Linked DNA regions of Oryzias latipes. The protein of the gene in region 3 binds, or shares a complex with, the protein of the main gene of each other region. Links are inferred from orthologs where the notes say so. Each region holds a gene or a part of one and is shown on either strand. Other genes may lie near its edges. The genes, in order: timm21, timm50, timm23, timm17a and timm17b.

Region 1 (4,910 bases), on a different chromosome or scaffold from region 3:
TATTTGATAACATATTGGGAAAATGCTGGACTGAATCTTTTAAATAAACTAATATTTACCGCTTTTATTGTGTGGCAACGTTTTTCTCTTATTTGAGTTTCAAATGCGACAACATGGGGCCACTCTTCAGCATTTCCACAAACCCGTCCCGAGTCTGGGTAAAGGCAGAGGGTTGAGTCCAAGACGCCATCCGCTGTAAAACTGAAGCCAAACGACGTGGGAGGATTTTGTGGTGATCCCCAACAAGAGTAGCCAGAAAATTAAAACAAAATCTGTGTTTGTTATTTATTTATTCTTGCTTTATTATAGATTATATTACAAATTGACCAGTTTTGTATTTGACCAATCCCCTGAGGAAGAAGGAAGCTGGTGTGACAATGGAAATATTTTGTTCAGTGGCAGTTCTACACTGACTTACAACCCCCCCCACACCCACATTGACCACATCGTTTTGTGTTCCCTATTTTTAATTAACACAAAAATCAACACAAATGTAAGAATTTTATATACTCGTATTACAAGGGTGTCAAACTCAATTGCACAGGGGTCCAGGTTGTGGGCCGAACAGGATAAACATTTAGTGAACACATTAAAGATACGTTTTCAAACATTTTAAACTTATTTTGAACAAAAATTTGAATAAAAACAGACAGGAATATTGTTTCGGAATAAATCAACTTCAAGCAGCCCCAAAAATGTAATTGATAATCACAAAGACACTAAATAACATTGTTATAAAATCTCAATCATGTGGATTTGCTTTCAGGAAAGTGCAACTTTAATTGAAATAGGAAAGAAAATATATGCATTTATCAGATGTTTCTGAAATTTGTGGGAGTGCTGACTCAAACAGCCATTCAGCAAATACATATTCATGTCTGCTGTGCATTTAAGTCCTTAGCCAGTAATGCTGTAGTGAGCAGTAATTTGTTTTCCTTTCATTTTTTATCAACATGAAAGGATCCTTTTAAAATAAATTATACCTGTAATTAAAAAAAAAACTTGTATTAATTAAGGGTCTATTTAAAGTATTTACATAATCCTAAGTACCAAGTCAATAAGTTTGAAACCTTAAGTGAATTATTTTTATGTTGAAAAAACTCTGCTTCTAATTAAGTATGTCTAAATTGTTGCATGTTTTGTTTTTTTGGATTTATAACTTTGTTTTGTCTCAACACGTTTTACCTTTGTTATAAAACATAAAAACTGTTTGATCTCAATTTTTTAATCATTGTTTTAGCAGAAAAAAGACCACATTTTTTCTGCTAAAAAATGTGGTCTTTTTTCAAGAATTCTTGAATCTTGAATCTTTAGCAGAAAAAAGACCACATTTATCACTCAGAATTGACTTTTTTGGACAGTTTCAACTTCATTGTGGAGTTATTGTGCAGTATAATGAAAACAAAATCAGTAAAACGAAGTGTGGGTTTTTAAAAAGAGGATGGAAATCAAGCATTGCCGCAAAAACCGATTTGAAGATAAATCAATAAAGCGAAATACGACGTAAGGTCAAAAAAGCCCCAGACCACAAATAAGGCTGCAGTTTGACATCCGGGACAGAAGGGGGCAGTAGCCATCTTTAGAAAATCCTCGACGTCTGATCGACCCAGCAGGTCAGTGAATCAGAGGTCTGAATGGCGGTTTCCAGCATTGCAATTCCATGTTACCATGAAAGACCGCTGTTATTTGATTCTTATTTTCAGTAGATGAGCTGCTGTTTTCTTTTCTTTTTTTCAGATATTGTCCGTCGGATAAAATAATGTCTTTCACGCACATTTTAAAAGCCGTGCAACAAAGTGTGCGGAGCTCCGGGAAAACATTTCTCCCCGTGCAGCAGGCTGGCGTGCTGTTGTTCACACGCAGAGCAGGAGCGGTCATCCCCGGCCTGTCCGTCCGTGGGTCAGAGGCTCCTGTGTCCGCCCTGAGCTGTCTCTGTCAAACACGAAGACGCTTTTCTGTTCACGTTATCCTCAGAAACAAGGAGGAGAAGCACAGGTCTGTTTCTGCCTACCAGAGTCCTAAAGTGTCCTCTGCTCAGAAAGGTATGCCCATTTCAGATTTGTGCAACTAAACGCATATTTACTGTCTTGTCTCTTTAAATGGGGTTTAAAGCTACTATTTTATTTAGAAAAAACTAAAAATCTTGTTTTAGGACCGCCCATTTTGTTTTCTTACAACCAAAGCTGCTTTCAAAGTTTCTTGGCAAGTAATAACTCCTACTCCCTTTCCTGTGGTGTTCCTCAGGTTTCTGTTCTGGGCCCTCTTTAGTCTATACCTCATTCACTCACTTTATGTACTTCATCTTTTTCATGTGATTTATTGATACCTAAAGATTCTTAATGACCTGAAACTGTGTTGGTAAGGTATAAATATCCGCTTAGAAGTTATGAACCGGATACTTCATGTAAAGAAAATGTTAAGTTTGATAAGTTTGCTTCCTTCCACTCCCTTTCAAGCCATCTTTAATTAAATGACTAAATATTCTATGTTTGATACATCTTAGTTTGTATGGATGTTGATTGTGTAGTTTTCAGCATTGTTTTTGCTTTGGTTGCTTGAAATAAGCAATGCCAAATCCAATTGAACAAGGTTTATTGAAAAAAGAAAAGAAAATCCAAATTAATCTTGAAGATAAATTCTGCATTAATTCATCAAATCAATGGATATATTTCATTTTGCATTTATTCCAGCATTGGAATATATATATTCCAGACCAAGAATTTGCTCCTTTATTCTATTTTTATGTCATTATTTTTAAAGTAATGAAGTAATTACTAACTCTGGTAACGTTAGGTTGGGGGTGTGAGGGGGAGCGGGTAATAGGTTGGTGATGGGAAGTGGAGCAGGCTTGCTCCACGCCAACAGCACAGTGGTCAATTTCTATTGAACTACTGCTGCTCTGCAGAAACTAACTAACTAAAGATCTTTAGGACTTGTCATCATAATACCTCGGGGCATACTAGAGGGCCAGACCTAACGTTATGTTGATGAGTTCCTCCTCCTCTTGTCATCTCTTATAGCCGCAGTCTAATAGAGCTACCCGTCTGCACAGACACACAGTTTCCTTTTATATCAAACCTGGAATATTTTCACTCTGGGTTAAATTTTGCTTATAAATCTAAACTCTTCCACTATGCATTGGCCACTCAAGAGCCTCTGCTCTGTTTGTCTTTCAGTCAAAGATGCTGGGAGAGACTTCACCTACCTGATCGTGGTCCTCATCGGGCTTGGAGTAACAGGTGAATTGAACTGCACGAGTCCAAGGAATGGCTACACAACAATCCCACATTGCTTGTTTATATATTTATTTATTTGGTCCCAGAACACACAACCTAAATAATCAGCTGCAGTTTTCTGCTGTGTTGGTCAGGGGGGCTGTTATATGTGGTGTTCCAAGAGCTGTTTTCCTCTACCAGCCCAAATAAAGTCTACAGCAGAGCCTTTGACAAAGTCAGGTCGCACCCAGAGGTAAAAATCAAGCCAGACGGCGTCTCCTATCAATATTTTTTTACTGTTGAAATGGCTAGAAATCATTGTTTTTCCAAAATAAAAGTAAGAAATACATAATCAATTGCAGGTTATTGGGGCATTTGGAGAACCAATTAAATGTTACGGTGAGACCACCCGCCGAGGGAGAAGGCAGCAAGTCAGGTGTGTTGACACTTTATCTTATCTTATTGAACTTTTTCTTACTTGCAAAATGTTGCTTTAGCATTCATTGATTCATGGTATAGAATACAGTAAATCTGATCAAACTTGGCATAACAAGCAGCTGCCTTTAGTTTTAGAGGAAATGCTTTTGCAGGATTTGAAGGACTTCCTTTCAGAATCACAACCTGTGAACATCAGCTATAAATCATATTTTCAGCAGCATTGAATTTCCTTCAACGTTTATGCAAAACTTGTCATGAAGGAGAATTTAGTTTCAGACCCCACAGCTATGAAACATAAAAGTTTTTATTGTCTTTTGAAGAGCTAACGTGGTATTCGTGCTGATTTATTGTAAGCATCTGAGAATCTGGAGCTCTGGAAGAATGGAGTTACAAAATGTTAAGGTTATTACATATATATGTTATTGTTGGAGTTTTTTTATTCCTTATTCTCATATTTCCACTTCAGTCACGTGGAGTATGTAAAGGATGGACTTAAGCACATGAGACTAAAGTTTTACATTGAGGGATCGGAGCCGGGCCTGAAAGGGACGGTGCATTCAGAGTCTAAAGAGGTAAGTCTTTATTTAAATGGAAACCTGTTGTTTCTTGTGTGGATTTTTTGATCAGTTGAGATAATGGTATCCTTGTTGTTTTGCAGAATCTTGAAACTGGAAAGTATGAATTCCGTTATGTATTTGTAGAAATAGATACCTACCCGAGACGGACTATTGTTGTGGAGGACAACAGATGAGGAGCTTTTCTGACACTCAGGGGACAAGTCAAGACGTTTGCACTTGTAAAGCAGGGTTTCATGTCTGTGAACTAAATAAATGGCTTTTTCCTGAATATATTATTGTGAAATTTTAAGAAATGGATTGGTTAATAAAATTATTTCTCAGCATTTGGTAGAAAGCTTCTCTATCGCAGTGTTAATGAAAATACAATAGTAATTTGTAAATAGAACATACAGAGATATTTTTTTGAAGATAAATGTATGCTTTTACAAATGATCACATTCTACAGAACTAATATGCTATAAAACATGAATTTGATCAAATTTTGCTTTTAAATGTAGGGGATGTTTTACTCCATTCAAACTTACTTTATCCTTTTTTGTTGTTTTACATGTAAAAATGTGAATAAAAAAGAATCACCAGATGGAGCTGCAGAATTTAGTATTTTGAAAATCTAGTAAAATGTGTAGCAACCCTAATTTAATTAAATAACCTATTAACATGATTTACACTGAATTTTAAA
Region 2 (3,512 bases), on a different chromosome or scaffold from region 3:
CACTGAAAGGGGAATGAAGCGCTGAGGTCAAACACAACCAAGCTTCACGTAGGAGAACACGGACCTCAGACAACCACGGCGGCCGTCCAAAGCCCGTCAGACCCCCCGGCGGTCTGTGCTCACACTGTAGTCCATGTGCCGCCGTTAGCTGCCGCTCAGCCAATGAGGGGGGGGTAATATGGGGGGTAATGGAGGGGCATTGAGGGTGCTTGCTGCTTTCTTTTCACGTTTTATACGTTAAAATTGTTCAGATCATCACCCCTTCATAGGGAATAACGAGGCATTAACAACGACGTTTCATGGTTAAATTCTGAACCTGTCAGAAGGACTACGACAGCAGTCAGAGGTTGGCGTTTGGGGCCGGAGCTCAGAACTAAATGGATTCAAAGGAACCAATGAAGAACTTCCTGAACCGCTGCAGAACTCAAACTTCTAGCTCATCATAAAAGTCTGAAAGCAAAGCCATAAAGAAACTCATAAATAGTTGAACACCAAGCTTCATGAGGAAACAACAGAGCAGATGTTGATGGAGGAGGATTAGACCCACAAGTGCTTCTGTTTCTAATCCGTCTCAGAATTACAGGTTTCCTCCCAAAGTGTGTTGTGTGGTTTTTTTTTTATTATTGGTTTTGAATTTTAGGAATTTTGGTTTCAAACATGCAGCCTCACAGGAAAAGTATTTCTGTCATCTTTCTCAAGGACTTCGGTCTTTGAGGTCCATGAACTCACCGCTGGTTTCTCTGACCAGGACTTTGGGTTCATTTGAACGCCTCATGACCCAGATCAGCAGAGAAGCTGTTGTAACCCGGCGGTTGTGTGTTCTCTCTGTCTGTGAGTCCAGTTGTCGACGGGTTGGCGCTTTAAGAAACGTCCGGGCATCGATTACCTGTTCCAGCAGCTGATGCAGTACTACGAGATCGTCATCTTCACCGCCGAAACCGGCATGGTGAGCGTTTGCTCCACGTTCTTCCAGAGGAACCAGGAGGCTGGTTTGGTTGGGGGTGAGGCTGATGATGCTCTGCTCCTCAGACGGCGTATCCCCTGATTGACAGCATCGACCCGCAGGGTTTCGTCATGTACCGCCTCTTCAGAGACGCCACGCGCTACATGGAGGGCCATCACGTGAAGGTGGGTTTCCTGAGAGCGCCGATCAGTCGGTTGGTTGGTTCTGCTTCGGTCGCTGGACCGTCACGATGCCAACCACCCTTTAAAACCCAGAAACAGAAGAGTTTCTGAAAAGTTTCATTTACCTTTTCAAAGTGTCTCATTGAAGGCGCAGCGCCAAAGCAGACACGCCTGACGGTTGTTTCCGCTTTCTTCTTCTGTTCTGGAAACTCCTAAATGAATTTGGATTCCTTTGACCTTTGATTAGCATTTCTGTTACTTCACAACTTTCCTGTCTGTTCTACATTTGTATTCTGCTGTCATGTTCAATGATTTGGTCCCATAACAATTAATTACCAGAGTTAATCACTTCTGTGTTTGCTTTTTGAAGATCCACTTTATTGGTATGCAGCATCACACTGATGCCAACCGCTGATAATGAAAAGAAAACAAAGACTAAGAAGAAGAAGAGAAGGTGGAGGTTGGTTTGTTTGCAACGGGACAAGAAATGATTTGACAGAATTCACTATAGTGCGTTTATGTCGTCTTTAGCTTATTTCATCAAAGTTTTTCACCCGATTTAAGATTTTCAGCTTCTCTCTGCCCTTTTGATTACAATTTCATAATTTTGCATTTTTAGTATTTTTTTTAAATCTTTTTTTTATGGTTTAAGGCTTCATCTATTCTTCTAGACTTTTCCAGCCTCTTTATTTAGGAGTTAGTGTTTTTTTAGCCCAGGTTGTCCTACATTCATAATCTTTTGCAGTGAACATTTTATTAAATAGCTCAACATTTATCTAGAATTCAGCATAATTAGCATTTTTGTCTCCAAAAGTCAGTCACCTGGTTTGCTTCTTGAGGAAACTTTATTCCCCTTGGCTCCTCCCAGTCACTTTCTCCGCTCCTCCTACATCAGCGCCTCCCCCCCTCCACCCCCAGCTTTCCCTCTTCCTCCCTCGTCCTCCTCCTGAGCGCTTCCAACTGTTGTTTTCCGCTGAGGAGCAGTCTGCTGGCAGCAGTTTAACCCAGTTCCCAGCGAGGTCTTCCTCTGCAGCAGACGCTGAGGGTTGAAGCTCCATATGCTGGAGGAGAGTCCCGATGCCGCTTCGGATCCTCCCGTCCTCTGAGACGGTTTGTGGCTTTCAGTGGTCGGTGAGGAAGATGGGGGGGGGGGGTCACTTCCCCTCATTAACCAGAGCCGACCCTTCCTCCGCCCGCTGCCATTGTTCAGTGGCCCACTTCTGAAGGGGATCAGACGTCTGATTATTGGTTGACTGTTTTTAAGCTGCAAAAAAACGGACAGATTAGATTTTTATTGGACGGGTTTGGGGAAGTGATTGGAGGGCAGCCGGCCATTGTAGGAGCCAGACATGGGTTTAACCCTTGTGCTTCCTAGGCACTTTAATGTTGGGAGTTGGGTCATCTAGACCCACTAGACAGTGCTCTGAACCTTTTTTCTTCAATGATTTGTGATCTTCACTGGTGTCCATGGATTACATGAAATCTTTCCACCTTTATCCACCTTTGTCATGGTAGGGAGAACATGTCAATATGAGGGGGGGGGGGGGGGGGGGTCATCTGGACCGCATAGGATAGCACAAGGGTTAAGTGACTATATGTCAATGGAGTTGCCTTCCACCGAGTTGCAGCAAACATCTGCTTCATCTGCTTCAGCTGCTTCATCTGCTTCAGATGCTTCAGCTGCTTCATCTTTTTTAGCTGCATATGAAGCAGCTTCCACACCCCCTGATCTTAGCAGCTGCATCTAAGATCAGGGGGTGCGGCACTCACATAAACTGTCGGATGATAAGAAGGTATTTTAAAAAGCACTAAAATGTAAACACCATGGCAGCCGTCCTTTAGGTTAATTTATATAACGCTGATGATTAATAAACTCAAAGAAAGACCTGGCGTTTAAATCTTTGTCTCTTCAGCCCAACTGAAAGGAAACGCTTCCTAATTTTAGGCTGTTTTAAGGGCTAAAAAATGGAAGCAGGTCAGTTCTCTGGGTGACCACTAGGGGGTTTGTTTCTCCTTCAAGTGGCTCCTCATTCACCCAGTGTTAAAGGTCAGAATGTGAAGATGTTCCCACTGCCTTTAACATTTATTTTTACCTCTGATGATCAGATACTTGTATGGAGGCGGTGCTTCTGTTAAAAAGGGGCGTGGCAGATTCATGACAAGTGTCTGTCCAATCGTCATATGGCGTGTTTCAGCCTCTGATGAAGGGTTTGGACCAAAAGTATTTCCATTTTCTGAGAACCGTTTTCCCTGAACGTCATGAGGCTCCTCCCCCTGGATCAGCTTACGTCATTCCCAGAAGATCCGAGGAGGATCGGAGGAGCTCCGACCTCCTCAGAAGCAGAAACAAACAGTCTGAAGGGAGACAGATGTCTTCATTCACTCCT
Region 3 (4,989 bases):
AAATTTTGTTTTTCTTGCCCTGTAAAACTTTTGGTTCTATTATTGTGATTCTTGGTCTATTTGTACTTGCTGTCACATAATCCTGTCTCATCAGACAGACAGGTAACATTCTAACGGAACAAAAAGGAGCCAAAGTTCTTCTTTCCTTTTTTCATTCAATAATTTTTCTGGCCTAATAACCCTTGGACTAACACAAAAACCTTCAATGCGACCCCATCCAGTGTGAAACGTCAACACACTTTTGGCATATTGTCATGCCATTGGTACCACCATTCCTTCAGTATGTAAAATAGTTTTGTTTTTGTAATTTTCAAACACTTTGTCACATTGAAAGTTCACATGTTTTTCTAAGAATTTTATCAAAACTGAACAGGCATCGTGAAAATCTTACCCATTTTCCTGTAAAAATATTAGGACCTTCTAGAATATTTCATTATTGCATCGTTGTTTTTAATATCGTCTTAGCAAAATAGATGTTCACACTATTGAAATAACTTCACAATCAGACTGTGGCGTTTACTGCCACCTAAAGCATGCACATTAGCCTGAATTTTGTGATATCTGCGGTATGATCTGTCACATTGTTGTATCTATTCTTTTGTTTTTAAGAGTCAGCAGCACCTATAATGTGACAAATATCCAAATTGTTCATACATCTATCCATTTTCTGAATCTACTAAATGCCCTACAGCCTAACGGCTACACCACCATGCAGCCTCAACTTTTTTCATTGTTTAATTTTCTGGTGAGTTCAGTTTCATTTTGGATTTAGTCTGTCATTTAAGTGTGATTAAAAAAAAACACACAAAAAATATTTTGATTTATTATGGTCAGAAGTGTTTTTAGACTAGTTTACAAAGAAAAAAAACTTAATGTGAATAAATAAAATTCCGAATGAAATATCTGCATACATTTCTGTATAATCTGTCTTTTACTGAGAAACTCTGACAACATCCAACTATTTCCAACTATTTTTGTAAGATTTGGGGACTTTAAATTTAAGTATGCATTTAATGTGCATTTAAATATGTCAGTAATCCATCCATCCATCCATTTTTCAAACCCACTGAATCTTTTTTTGAAGACAATTTTGTTTGATTTCCCCCAGAACCCACACTTTTTAACAAAAAAGAAAAAAAAACATTCTAATTTCTATTATTATTATGGCCCGCAGCAGCAATCACTTATTATTATTATTATTATTATTATTATTATTATTATTATTATTATTATTATTATTATTATTATTATTATTATTATTATTATTATTATTGTTTATTATTGTTGTTATTTAAGTCACTTATAACATAAATCTTATTTTTCGTTGTTGTTTTTATCACGTACCTAATTTAAAGAAACTATAAATAAAACTATAAATTGTCGAAGTAGAGATTGTATAATTTGTCAAGTGTCTATCTACAAATAAAGTTTTTTTATTTTGAATTGCTGTTTCAAAGCAGAGAGAGAGCCTGTCGTAAAATCTTTGGTTGTTTTTCTCAAATGTTACCAAAGTTATTATCAAATATAATTAGTTTAAATAATATTTTGAGTGAATTAATTTAATATAGTAATTTTTGACGAAGTTGAGAGAAAATTCTCTCATTTTTCAGGACTTGATATTGGACGTAACATGAGTGCGACGCCGGTGATCACTTTACGGCAGAGCATGCTGTTGGAGGTCAGTGGCATGACGTCAAGGCGAGTTCTGAGCAGTAAAACACGAGTTCGATTTGATTTTGCGTTCTTAAAATTTATCGGAGGTACAGCATAAGCTTTTATAGATGTTTTATTTTAGTGAAGGTGGATCCTGGCTGCGCTTCTGAATAAAAAGCTTTATAATTTAACATAGTGCTAACGACGTTAGCCGCACAGGCTCGACTCCCTATTCCACTTGACCCTTTAACTTCACAGCCATGGATAATAATTCACAAGGATCTGGGGGATTTAAAGGAGGTCTCGGAAGTATTTTTGGAGGGGGTGCCCCAGAATACTCCAATACAGAGCTGGCTGGAGTTCCGCGTAAGTATTGTGTAAACTTGATGTACTGCTAGATAGCTGCTCTCATTCCTGAGGAAGGAACCAAAAAAACTACAGGATCAATTAAGGACTTAATCGATTATAGTTTATGTTGTCATTGATTTTCAGTGACTGGGATGAGTCCCCTGTCCCCTTACCTCAACGTGGACCCTCGATACCTGGTTCAGGTACGTTTAAACATTAGTGTTGGTTGGTGCTTTTGTGTGTATCATCATGTTTGGCGGCTCTAACTGTCAAAATGTTTGTGTTATAGGACACAGATGAGTTCATTTTACCCACTGGGGCTAATAAAACTAGGGGGAGGTTTGAGCTGGCGTTCTTCACCATTGGAGGTTCCTGTATGACAGGTGAGTAACCTTAAATTTTTACATTAAAAACGACTTTGGGGCACGTACAGTAACGAAAATAAGATACAGAACCCCATCATTAACCAGCCATCTAGATTTAATTTCATTTCTATTCTTCTGACCTCTTTTGGTAAAAAAAGACAAAACAAAAACAAAACCATCATCATAGTTTTTAAACTCCCTAATTACTTAACAATACTAATTTCTTGCTTTTTTTCACTGCAGGAGCTGCCCTGGGAGCCATCAACGGTCTTAGGATGGGTCTGAAGGAGACCAGAGATATGACGTGGTCCAAACCACGAAATGTTCAGTAAGTTAACAGAGAGCAGGCTACAAATTCGTTTTGCACCCAAAAATGCGCCTTTTTTCTTCTAATTTGTACCTGTTTTGCCATCAGAATTCTTAATATGGTAACCAGACAAGGGGGATCATGGGCCAACTCTCTAGGCTCTGTTGGTAAGACTTACAGTTAGAGCTTGGGGGTTTTACGCTTTCATATTTCTTTGCCTCCTGTCATTTTTGAATGTCTTTTTGATAATATTCCCATCAAATCATTAGAAATTTTTAGTAAAATGCAGCCAAAATAAGTGTGGGCATTGTTAAATATGGCCTTCTGTGTGGCTACATTATTACTCAAGATGTCCCTGCTTAGGGAGGGACAGAATTCTTTTGTTTAGCTGCTTTCTGATACTTTTTCTGTAGTCGTCATGCATGTTCTTTTGTTGAGTAGAGTCACCACCTCAAGGTTAATCTCTTCAGAGGTTCAGGAAAGAAAGCTAGAACATCTGTGATGATGTTTTAATATGTATTTCTTTATTTTTTTAGCCTTGTTGTACAGTGTTTTTGGTGTGGCGATAGAGAAGGCCAGAGGAGCAGAGGATGACATCAACACAATGGCTGCCGGCACATTAACAGGAATGCTCTTTAAATCTGCAAGTAGGTGTTTTTCTGTTAATGAATCCAATTTGTTTTGTGGTACAGCGTTCCCTCGCTAGATTCACCTTGAAGCTGTTTCCTGGATTTTTTAAGCACAATTGTGCACATTGTGTTCTGCGTCCCGATTGGCTGTAGACCTTGTCAGTCAATCTCTTCCATGCTGTGTCTCCTGTCCAGAGTGCAGCTTTCCAAAGCTTCATAAATCTATCCTCATGCTCAGATCTTTGTTTTCATTCTATGATTCATTTTTCACGAAGGTTTGAATTTCTGAGTTTAAACAAGAAAAAAAAAGTGTGAAAATGTTCATGTCTGTCTCAGAAAAGTGTGGGGATGAGTTTTATATCCGTAAAATGTAAAGCTTAAAACATTTACAGGGTTATTAAAAAACATTATTTTAGGTTTTTAGAACTCAAATGAATAAAATTATTGCAGATTATTTAAATTTCTTTTTACTTGTACATAGTCCTGATTATCTTCTTTAGTGAAATATTTTCTGAGGTCCTCAGTATTTGGGATCTTTTTTTTCTTTTCTCTGTGCTCTCAGGCGGACTGAAGGGTGCAGCCCGCGGAGGCCTGCTTGGTTTGGCGTTGTCTGGAGCTTATGCCGTTTACAACAACTGGGACCATCTCACCGGCTCCTCCTCATCCTCGCGACTATACTAAACTCCCATGTCCTCATTTCGTCACTTGAGGTCAAAATGTGGATGGAGGACGCAGCCTTCAGCCACAGACTGCAGGGAACTCCTAAAGGAAGGAAACCAAGAAACCCACGAGCATTCTGGGAGTCTGAAGATGGTTGTAAAATAAGTTAAGGAAAAACATGGACTCAATTCCACATTTTTGTGTTTATCTTGTTATGTTCTATTACTGTTCTGTTTAGAATCCCACGTCAGGGTTTATTATTTGTTATAAGGTTGTTTTTGAAGCCTTTTCAGTCTTTGATGCTAGGTTTTAAAAATCATTAAACGGATGACGGATGAGGGGGAATCCTGTTTTTGTCATGGCTTCTTTGTGATTTCCAAACTCGGATCAAAGCCTTATTATCCGTTTTTTTTAATTGATGTATTATAAAGCAGTGAGAATCATCAAAAGCTGTATTGGAACATATATTATGAACTAAAATAAAACCATAAATGTTTCTTTTTTGTTTATATTGTTTTTATACCTCAAAGGGATGCAGACAGATAAATACAAAGAGTAACAAAAGGGATTTTGCGAAGCTGCATTTACATCAGGAAGTGTCTTCTGCAGAACAGGAGGAAACTTTGAGTTGGTTCAGTGCAGGAAAAAGTCCCTGATGCGAGTCGCCTCAATCCATGGGATGTAGGTGGCTGTGCGGGTGAACACGCTGGGTTTATTCTCAACGGTGCAGCCGATGGGGCCGAAGCTCACCACTCCATGCACCTCCCAGCGGTCTCGGTCCAGCTGGCAGAGCAGAGGACCCCCAGAGTCGCCCTGGGAGAGGAGGAAAGAAAACAGTGAAGGTACTTTTCCTGGTCTGAACATCACCAGTGGCTGGAAGGCTTACCTGGCAGGCAGCAGGTGGGTCCTCTGTGTCTCTGAATCCGGCGCAGATCATAGAGTCTCTGACACGGTCACCCCAGAATTTCTTCTGCCGGCAGGTTTTGAAGTCGATGATTGGCAGACGGGCTTGATTCAACGCTTCTGC
Region 4 (4,974 bases), on a different chromosome or scaffold from region 3:
TGCAGTCACTGGGTACAAATGACCCACTCCTTTGAATCCACAGCAGCATTCTTTCTGTTGCTGACAACAAATCACAAGCGGTTTGGAAACGGTTGGTTTCTACATGCGAGGTAGCCGTCATCCTGAAACAGAGGAGAGGGGAGCTGCACTGGCTGCAGGCCAGGTTGTGTCTCCAAACTCAGTCCTTACACATGAAATGCCCATATTTGGTCATTTCTCAATGAAAGCTCACTCTGCAAGTCATTCCTTTCCTATTTCTAATAATGGGCTTCATGCCAGCCGTCTCTCTGCACTGCTGCAGCTCCCCGACCACCAGTGGTATTTACCAGGGGGGAAAAAAGAGGAAAAAAGAATCGAAGCTGTTTTGTAAAAAATATCATTTAAAGGAGGAAAAGAACCCAGATGATGCTTTTCAGTGATTAAGTTTCATGCACTGCAAAAATAAGTAGCCTAAAAAGACAGAAAGAGCACTATTCTTGAGAAGAAAACCACTAAAAACTAGTAAAATTGTCTCCAGCAAGTAATTTATACTTATAAGATGTTAAAATCTAGAAACAAGCTGTTCCACATAAGCATTCAAAAAGAGAAAAATAAGCATACTTCGAGAGAGTAACTTATAATAATATCGTACGGTCCGATAATAAGTATTTTTTGCTAGTTCTAAGCAAATGGATTTAATTTTTTCAGTTTTTATAAACCTAATTCTATTTCATTTTGATTACAGTGACAAAAAATAGTTAAAAAGTAGAAATGACTCATTTTAGAACAAATCCTCATAAAATTTAGCTCTAATTGTTTGAATGTAAATCAAATTCTCAGTTTCCAAAACAAGGACACTGAATGCCAGTCTAACATTTATTGAACTCTAAAATAAAATCTTTAAAATTGAGCCAAAAATGACACTGTAATTAGAGATTTTTTGAGTCTTGAAACAAGTTTTTTCTCTTGTCGAGAGTAGGGAGCAAAAGAGTTTGGATTCATTTTAATACTTATTTCTTTATTTCTGTATCTCTGCTCTTCCTGAGAATGTGTATAGCAAAAATAAGTTCAAACAACTTAAAACCTGGTAAAATATCTTGAATGTCTGAAAAGGTTTTAATCTTTGAAAGAATCAAATGCTTTTCAATGTGTGATCTTGGGTGTATTATTTTAGTTTAGCTTTTGGTTGCTCTGAACTACATGTGGCTGTTTTTTTGTTTTGGCAAACAATTCCAAAGCCTTTAAGTAGCTGACATTTCAGTAGTTGAGCTCTCACAGAGTACACCCGGACACTTGATGTATAGGGTTAGGGTTGGTGAGTATTTTCAGAAAGGATCCTACTCCCACCAGCAAAGTGTTTTCTTCTTCTTCATGTTTTAAATCCAACCTGTGATGTTTCTGATGTTGTGACTAATTTCTACAATCATTCATACTCTGTCTGCAGTCACATTTATAAATGTTAGCATTGTCACAAACCACATCAACCACCCAAGGATTGGCTAATAGATCAGCTAATATAAATAAATTATGTGAAAAATTAAGTATAGATTTTTATTAAAAAACAAAAGCAAACACATATTATCAAATTTTTATAATTTTTAACTACGTAAACATTTTATATTAAGAAGTATTTACTTAAAAATAGTGAGGCATTTGTTTGTCCACGAGTGACAGATTAACTGGAGATTTTGTAAGTTATTTATTTTTGTCTTCTATTTCCCTGGAATTATAAATAACCAAAAAAAGCGGAAAAAATGTATACAGAAAACTGCAACCACACGTCTGCTCGATAGATGGCGGTACTCATTACTTTCAACTATTGGTTTACGTTCTGTGACGTCAAGAAGAAGAGGTTACGTCAGGACGCTCAGGGGAACACGGTGAAAGAACAAAATGGAGGAATATGCGAGAGAGCCGTGGTGAGTTTTTTATTTATTTATTTATTTTTAAATCACCTTAATTGTCTGGTTAAAAAACAAGACATGTTTGTTCCTTAACTTTGAGTACCTATTCTGATCACCAGTTGTAATGACTTTATCAGTCCTTAACCTTGCATGCTAGTTAGTGGTGTTAGCCGAAATGCTAATTTCTCCCTTGAAATCTATGGGTAGCTTGACGCTAACGACATACCGGCATGGTCGTGAAATCACGTTGGTGACCTTGTCGGCTATTTCGTCCACATGTAACTCTACTGACTTCACTGAAAACAGTAGTTGACTTTGCACTAAATAGAACACGGATTGCATCAAGTACCAAAAAGCCAACATCACCATTGTTGTTCAGAGAAAATTTGTATAACTTGTTATGAGACCCGTGTTGTTGTAACTCTGACTGCTGTCAACCCGAACCTGTGAGTGATCGGTTTTACTAGATTCCCCAAACACTTGTTTCGACATCCTGTAATCAACTTAAAAAAAACCATCATATCTACGTAAAATTGTGTTAACTATAGGTGGACTGTAAAAACCCATCTTAGGCCTTACTGCCATTAGTGTGACACTAAGTTGTTATATTTTGGCTGATCCATGACCAGTTGTCTTTTTCCCACCTCATTTAACTAGGATGTGACAAAACAATGGAACTTGATGCAATTTTGCTTGATTTCCACAAAATATATCTTTTTGGACGGTTTTGAGCTTTTCTTTAACACACAGTTGCACTGTGTCCTCTACATATAGCATGTTATTTCCTCTTGGCATTGTTTTAATGGTCTGCAATATGTTTCATTTTGGATAATAGGCATGACTGTAATGAAGTCTCCTGTAGCACATCCTGAAGGTCTCAGTGGTATTAAGACCTGGGTGTTGAGGTATTTGGTCCATGCATGAAACAATGTCTAAAGTTCCTAGAATTAGACGTTGTAAATCTTGGGCTAGCTTACTGGCATGCAGATGCACTCCCCAACCCCAACACACAGACAGAATTAAATCAATTCAAGTTTTAAGTTGTTTCATTTAGTTCTTAACCAGTTATGACAATAAAAAAGTCTAAATTATTGATGTCTACTGTGGACTTGTTTTTCTCTCAAGTTTGATGCATTTATTCGTTTTTGTCCCCCCCCCCCCCCCCCCCCATATATTTGGAACTCATTAACGAACAAATACCTGCTGTTTATTTTAAAAATACTCGTATTAGGTTCTGTAGTCTGTTGTCTGGCACTCCATGAGTACAGCATGAGGTTAAGCTTTGTCTGTGTTTTTTGTTTTTTAGCCCCTGGAGGATTGTGGATGACTGTGGTGGAGCATTCACCATGGGAGCTATTGGAGGAGGGATATTCCAGGCGGTAAAGGGCTTCAGAAACGCACCCTCGGTAAGTTCAGTTTGGACATTTGAACTGTACGTGTGTGCCGTCACATGGGTTTGCTGTGATTATCTTTCTCCTACCTGTAGTGGCAGAGCCAGTGTTTTGAAAGCCTTGGCCTTCTGGTTCAATGACTCGCTCAAGGAAGCTTTAAATATTTTCCAGCGAGATGGGTGTTATAGTGTTTATCTGCTCTTCACACTTTTTAAATCTGTTTGTGCTGGTCTTTTTTGTAGGGAATGAGCCACAGGATGAGGGGTAGTTTAACTGCCATTAAGACCAGAGCCCCGCAACTGGGAGGTAAGACAAAAAAAATTCCACATGTGCCGACACTTATGTCTCATTTCCACTGAGCGATCCCGGTCCGGTCAGGTGATTGTCTTTCCTCCTGCGTAGTGCCAATAGAACAAAAGCTAAGCTATCGACAACAACAATGCGTGTTGTGTTTTTTTTTCTTTTCTTCTTTCTCCAAGATGGAGGATATATAAAGAAAATTAGGCTCAAAATTCTATTTTGAGTATTTCTACATCGAAATCTTTGTGAATCAGGCGCAGACGCAAAAATGTTGTTGGAAAAAGCTTGTAGGTGTGATTAAAGGCATCTGGCTCAAAACTGTACGGCTGGAAAACTCCAATATTGCTTGCCATTTTAGTTGCAGCGGTAATTTTAGGTTGGGGTTGTGAGGGACTGTAAGCTAGCAGGAAAGCCTATAAATGGATGGATGATGGGATGTGGGGATGGACTTACTCTGCCAGCAGAACTTGGAGGTGAATTTTTAATGAACTCCTGCTGTTCTGCAAAAATTATGTCCTAGAAAATGACATGTTCTTTTATTTTTTTTGCTCAAATCTGCATAATTATAAGTAAAAAGTCCACTGGGGACACTTTTACAATAGATCAAGAAATGATCGGAGTGGGACTTTGATGGGGTTATTCTGCTGTTCTGGTAGCAGGTTGTTTACCATGTAAACAACAATACCCTTGAGTCATGTCAACTTCACCAAAAGGTCAAATCTTCATTGGTTTACGTTGCTTGTTAACCATTACTGTGTTTAAACTTTTGGTTGTCTTTTTTTTTTTTGCAAGGTTATATTCATAAACGGGTTTATAACATTTTCTGCTATACTGTCAAAAAAGATGACTGATGGTTACTAGTTGGTAATTATTTGTGGGTGTGTGTTGCAGGTAGCTTTGCGGTGTGGGGAGGCCTTTTTTCCATGATTGACTGTGGTTTAGTAAAAGTAAGAGGGAAAGAAGACCCCTGGAATTCAATAACAAGTGGTGCCATGACTGGTGCTATTCTCGCTGCAAGAAGTAAGTACAAATTTCCCCTTTTGAAAATAGACAGAACTTCAGGTGAAATTTTGCCTTGATCTAACTTGGAGCTCATGTAGTGATACAGAATTTCAGTAACTATATAACATTGGCACCAATTCAAATCATTGAATGCTATCTAGGTGGTCAGACACACCAGAATCATTTTACTTTGGTGAAATTCCATGTTTGCACATGAACAGGAACGTACTGGTGGAGGTCCTCTGTGCTGTATGTAGACTGTGGCTAAATCCACACAGAAACGTATTTTTAAAAAAACTGGCATTACATCTAATAAACTATTAAACTTTAGTAAATGTTTTCTAGAAGCATATGTGGCCCATCTGTCATCACATAATGCAAGAAAGAGACCGTCTATT
Region 5 (5,002 bases), on a different chromosome or scaffold from region 3:
AAGAAGAGGGAGCGCGTGCAGCGCTGAGGGGAGAGGCGCGGCGCAGGGAGTGAAGGAGAGAACAGTAATAAAAGGTTTCCCCCAGAAACCCTTGAAGTCTGAACACAGGAATAGCAGAAAAAGTAAATTATCAGCAAAGATGAATGTGTTTAATGTGTTTATTAATGTTCCAATCACGCACCATATGCACAACTTAAAAGAAAAAAGAAAACCGTGCGGTGATGCGGTTGTCGTCACACCCCTATAACACCGTCTAACTTTAGAAAAGTTTCATCCACCCCGTTCTGTTCAACGAAAAAGAGGCTAAGGGGGGCGGCTCCTTGCCATGCATGTCTCCACAATGAGATGAATTCACGACTGTCTGCGAGCGAAACATGGGCAAACCTGTACGGGGCACATAGGTGGCCTGCAAGAAACAACAAGGTCGTAGAATGCTCTGAGCAAGAATGTTCATGCACAGTTTTTTCACGGACACGCTGCGAATGACAAATCGGAGTGAACGCTTAAACAATGTGTGTGCGCTCCTTGCGTGCAGCCTGACTAACGTCCTACAGGCAATTCCACATCGCAGGTGTGCAGCATTTGAGTCAGTGTGCACAACCTGCTAATGAATAGAGTGTGGTGTAAGCCAGTCATACGTCACTATCCTTAGAAATACTTCACAAATACAAACTTACCAAACGCATGACAACTGTACATTGCATTTTTAGTGACGTTCCATTAGGTACGAGACTGAAGGGAAACTAAAAGACACATCTGCTCCCCTCAAGGTGCAGCTGATTGTCTCTACGACCCTCCACAGCCCCGAACAAACCAAAAACCAGCATATGACTAAGGATTAACCAAAAAATTCCAGTTTGCAGCCTTCATTTTGCCCTCATCGTGTTTTTTTAACAATGCAAATCACATTTTGCTGATGTAATTTCCCTGGTGTCTTCTGCATTTGCCGCGAAAAAAACTTCAATAGTGTGAATAGGTAACAATAACTAAATGTATACACCAAAGAAAAAGTCAACCTGATTTATATTACTGTAGAATACAAATATGATTTTCAAAAACTCATTTTTGGAAGAATAAAACCACCATTCAAGAGTTTCACTCACGGTTCTGAAACTGCTGTGCAGTGTATCTGGTTAGCAGGATCCCAAAACCCTCGATGAGAGCGAGCAATATTCCTCCCATCATGGCAGAGCCCACCATGGTCAACGGTCCGCCTGAGGAAAGACACCCTGTCCGCTCAATTCCACCAAACACTACGACCCGCTGAGAGTGTGCGGCCCAGACTCGCTCTTACTGCGTGCTGCTAGAACGGCTCCGGTCAGGGCCCCGCTGGTGATGGAGTTCCACGGGTCTTCTTTCCCTCTCAGACGGACCAGACCACAGTCGATCGTGGAGAAGAGCCCCCCCCACACTGCAAAGCTGCCTGCAAAAATGTTCAGGGGAGTGTGAAAAACAAAAACAAGAAGAGAACAGCTCTTATGGCATCTAGGTATAATTTTTCCAATAAAGAGATGAACAGCAAATGACATTGTGGTGAAGCCAGGAAACCTTTTGTTATTAATAAGAGCAAAATCTCCTCACCTCCAATCTGCGGCGCTCTTATTCTCACTGCATTGGCGCTTCCTTTTAGCCTGTGTGCAACACCCTGAAAGGTCAGACTGCTGTTAATTATTATCCTCACAAAACAGGCGCATCAGAGCCAACAGACTTGTGGTTTTAACTCACGGCGGGGGCGTTTCGAAACCCCTTGACTGCTTGGAACACCCCTCCACCAATTGCACCCATAGTAAACGCCCCCCCACAGTCATCCACAATCCTCCAGGGGCTGCAGGAAAGAAGTCAGATCATGAAAAATTACGGACACAGAGGAAAAAAATTGCAGATTGACTCATCAGGATCTGAATGAACCAAAATTAGGCCAAGAAGTTAAAGGTGTAGAACTGAAACAAATAACCTTTTTATTAATTTCTTAGGAAAGCTATCAACGATCCGGCATACTTTCCAGCTTCCACAAGAATTCATCTTTGGATTATATTAACTCCAAATCCCAATTTTAGCTGCAGTATATTATTAAACGACAGATGCAGACATTATTTAAGGTCACACTGAACCTGCATTTTCTTTAACAGCTTTAAAACACTTGTTTAAATAATTAGTCATTGGATTAAGACAGCAAAACAGCAACATATTATTGTTCTTTCTGGTGGCTTACTGCTGCAGGAGGCTCAAATGTTCAAAACAAACAAAGATCTAAATGAGAAGACACAGGCTTTTTCATGCTAACTCTTCTATTTATTCTACTTTGTCACGAGTCAAATGATAAATTAAAGGATTTTCCTCTGATTCTTTTGTCTTATAAACTTAGGGGGTTCTCTCCATTCAGATTTACTCTCTAAAGGCAAAATAATGGATCACAGATCCACAGTGTTTTCTTCTGACACAAGGGGAGTGAATTCTGACTTCCTTTAAGTTCAAAACTAGGAATAACCACAAAGCAGGAACAGATCAGAGAGAAACTGATTAGATCAGAACAGAGAAGAGCCAGAGGTGGCAGAGCTTGTAGCTGCGAGGGGGAAAAAAGGAGGCAGAAGGGAGCGGCGTGGGGCAGCAAGCAGACGGAGCGGCGTGGGGCAGCAAGCAGACGGAGCAGGAGCAGACCAAAAAGAGAAACAAATGATTCTGTCTCCATGTTTTTACTCTGATTGGTTTGTGTGTCTTCCTTTTGTAGACGGTGGGGGATCTTTCTGTTAATCCCTCCAAAAACTCTGAACTCAGAAGTAAATGGGTTAACCATAACAACTATCTAATATCTATAATCAGTTAAATTCAGAAGTGTTATTATCAATCTGGATTATCAATGACTCAATGACAAGCATGTCAGCATTTTGATGAGTTGGGGCAGCTTTAGAGGAGATCTGTGTGCCTGAAGCCCTAGAAGTGTCGACTTTACTGAATTCTAATAAACAATCATCCATCTATGAAATAGTAGACAATGTTAATGATTATTCTTTAAAATGTCTGAAAGTTGTTGAGAGATTTAAACTGCATTTAGGATTTATAGAATAAATGTAACTGTGATCTTAATTGCTATTAAATACCATTATATTCTGTGATATATAAAACATCCATTTCTGCACAAGGATATAAATTGGATGTTTCGGCTTGAAAAACAATAAACAAGCTTACTACCAATTAATTAAAAATGTCACAAAATATGTAACATTTGTTCGCAATATGTTTTAAGCTAATTTAAAGCACTAACAGTAAATGTTGTCGTTTTTCCATAAATTGTAGAAATAATATATTTTATAACCTGCGAAATGTTAGAATTCTAGTTGAAATTAGATTACTTCTCGGTGGTGGACGCGAAACTATTCAACCTGGTCAGGTTTCGTTCAACAAGAGGGCAAAATTGCATAAAAGCCAAAGGACAAACTAATATGTTTAGGTTTTATTCGACAAAAAAAGATAATCTCACCAAGGTTCACGCGCAAACTCCTCCATCTTTCGTGTCGTCTTTTAAGCGCAGTGACGTCATAATCAGGCGCCGGCTCATCGTTCGTTGTGGTGGTCTGTTGATTTTAACGATTGAAATAGTCGTTTTTAAGAACAGGTACAGACTTTCCCCCCTCTTTGTTATTTATATAAACGCTTACTTGGTTAATTGAGTTTCTTATTATAGTTAGGAACTTCAAAATGACGGGATTTTGATTTATTTTAACCGCAGCTGTGAGTTGAGTTCAGAAAAACGGGCCTGGATCATGTTTTCGTGCAGATTATTTTAGCTCTTGAAATATTGTTTCTTTGCTAATTATCGATATTTTAAAACTGACTGAGCTACACTAACCTCAATATTTAAAAGACAAAAAAAACTTAACGTTTGAGAGTTTTAATCAATCGCTCCATAGTAGAACCAGAACCATCGAAATAACTTTCAGAAAAGTCCTGTTTCATTTTTTGAGCTGCTTTGAAATTGAGACAGTTTTGTGTGTGTGTGTGTGCGCGCGCGTGCGTGCGTGTTTAAATTTCGCACCTTATCATAAAATTTTCCTCCAGAGAATTTGTTTAGAAACAGTGAAGAATGGATTTGTTTGCTTCAAATACCTTATCTATACAGGTGCTCTGAATGTACACATCTGTACATCTGGATTTGGTCATAGAACATGTTTAATTTCAGAATTTGGGGTAATGGGTGTCTCTTATGTTGTTGCTTTTATGGGTTAGTTTGAAACGAAACAGTTCTGCCAAATTAAAGCCAAATCAGTTATTTAATTAATTGATTTTTCTATAAAAGTAATATTTTGTATTTGTCAGGTTAAATAAAACATTTTCTTTGCTTTTAAAGCCAGAAGTTGAATTTTATTGATTTAAAGTTCAAGTTTTGCTTTATTTAAATCACTAGTTAGGCAAAAATGTTTGTGAACGAACATAATTAGTTTTGGAATGGAACCTTTATTTTTTTTTAAAAAGAATTTATATTTAATCAAAATTTCTGCAATCCTAACTCCTGTACACAATCGGTGAATTCGTATGTAATCAACTGAAGAATTTGTCAGCATTTGCATCATCATTTAATCCTAACTCCTCTGTGCTTGCAGATGCCTCTACCTCCAGCCCTGCTGGCCCGTTTGGCCAAGAGAGGAATAGTTAAACCTTCAGATCAAGGTAGTATTCTACATCCTCACAGAGCTTACTTTCTGCTTTTTTTCTGAGCTTAAAACGACTTTTTCTCCTCAACAAAACAGAGATAGAGGAGGAGATCATCGCTGAAGATTATGATGACAACAATGTTGACTATGAAGCCACTCGGTTAGAAAATCTTCCCCCAAATTGGTACAAAGTGTTTGACTCGACGTGGTACGTAGAAACGAAGTCGATCAGCTGCGCTGCTGTGTTTGAGTATGATCACTGCGTGTCATTGATCTACCATTGAAATGAAAAGCAATTGCAGCTAAAGTTATTTGTTTTCTTCATTTCCCAGCGGTCTTCCTTATTACTGGAA

The links.
Region 1: timm23 (region 3) and timm21 share a complex: the UniProt entries of both Homo sapiens proteins name them as parts of the TIM23 complex. The link is inferred for Oryzias latipes from reciprocal best matches to the Homo sapiens genes TIMM23 and TIMM21.
Region 2: timm23 (region 3) and timm50 share a complex: the UniProt entries of both Homo sapiens proteins name them as parts of the TIM23 complex. The link is inferred for Oryzias latipes from reciprocal best matches to the Homo sapiens genes TIMM23 and TIMM50.
Region 4: timm23 (region 3) and timm17a share a complex: the UniProt entries of both Homo sapiens proteins name them as parts of the TIM23 complex. The link is inferred for Oryzias latipes from reciprocal best matches to the Homo sapiens genes TIMM23 and TIMM17A.
Region 5: timm23 (region 3) and timm17b share a complex: the UniProt entries of both Homo sapiens proteins name them as parts of the TIM23 complex. The link is inferred for Oryzias latipes from reciprocal best matches to the Homo sapiens genes TIMM23 and TIMM17B.

What each region holds. Positions count from the first base shown.
Region 1 is NC_019878.2:15,517,786-15,522,695, reverse strand, and holds the start of timm21 (mitochondrial import inner membrane translocase subunit Tim21), read left to right. Parts: upstream 1-1,613; 5' UTR 1,614-1,628; intron 1,629-1,737; 5' UTR 1,738-1,759; coding exon 1,760-2,042; intron 2,043-3,176; coding exon 3,177-3,239; intron 3,240-3,370; coding exon 3,371-3,468; intron 3,469-3,577; coding exon 3,578-3,651; intron 3,652-4,119; coding exon 4,120-4,225; intron 4,226-4,311; coding exon 4,312-4,404; 3' UTR 4,405-4,910. UniProt on the Homo sapiens protein: Participates in the translocation of transit peptide-containing proteins across the mitochondrial inner membrane.
Region 2 is NC_019871.2:1,071,229-1,074,740, reverse strand, and holds part of timm50 (mitochondrial import inner membrane translocase subunit TIM50), read left to right. Parts: intron 1-841; coding exon 842-946; intron 947-1,029; coding exon 1,030-1,128; intron 1,129-3,512. UniProt on the Homo sapiens protein: Essential component of the TIM23 complex, a complex that mediates the translocation of transit peptide-containing proteins across the mitochondrial inner membrane. Has some phosphatase activity in vitro; however such activity may not be relevant in vivo.
Region 3 is NC_019877.2:13,786,375-13,791,363, reverse strand, and holds timm23 (mitochondrial import inner membrane translocase subunit Tim23), read left to right. Parts: upstream 1-1,633; 5' UTR 1,634-1,913; coding exon 1,914-2,019; intron 2,020-2,145; coding exon 2,146-2,204; intron 2,205-2,290; coding exon 2,291-2,384; intron 2,385-2,609; coding exon 2,610-2,694; intron 2,695-2,781; coding exon 2,782-2,840; intron 2,841-3,209; coding exon 3,210-3,320; intron 3,321-3,864; coding exon 3,865-3,983; 3' UTR 3,984-4,459; downstream 4,460-4,989. Other genes in the region: elastase-1, read right to left, coding at 4,596-4,775, 4,849-4,989. UniProt on the Homo sapiens protein: Essential component of the TIM23 complex, a complex that mediates the translocation of transit peptide-containing proteins across the mitochondrial inner membrane.
Region 4 is NC_019863.2:11,441,132-11,446,105, forward strand, and holds the start of timm17a (mitochondrial import inner membrane translocase subunit Tim17-A), read left to right. Parts: upstream 1-1,787; 5' UTR 1,788-1,872; coding exon 1,873-1,898; intron 1,899-3,189; coding exon 3,190-3,289; intron 3,290-3,516; coding exon 3,517-3,580; intron 3,581-4,465; coding exon 4,466-4,594; intron 4,595-4,974. UniProt on the Homo sapiens protein: Essential component of the TIM23 complex, a complex that mediates the translocation of transit peptide-containing proteins across the mitochondrial inner membrane.
Region 5 is NC_019865.2:21,320,884-21,325,885, reverse strand, and holds the start of timm17b (mitochondrial import inner membrane translocase subunit Tim17-B), read right to left. Parts: upstream 3,530-5,002; 5' UTR 3,505-3,529; coding exon 3,479-3,504; intron 1,826-3,478; coding exon 1,726-1,825; intron 1,646-1,725; coding exon 1,582-1,645; intron 1,424-1,581; coding exon 1,295-1,423; intron 1,215-1,294; coding exon 1,104-1,214; intron 1-1,103. Other genes in the region: pqbp1 (polyglutamine-binding protein 1), read left to right, coding at 4,599-4,665, 4,746-4,857, 4,982-5,002. UniProt on the Homo sapiens protein: Essential component of the TIM23 complex, a complex that mediates the translocation of transit peptide-containing proteins across the mitochondrial inner membrane.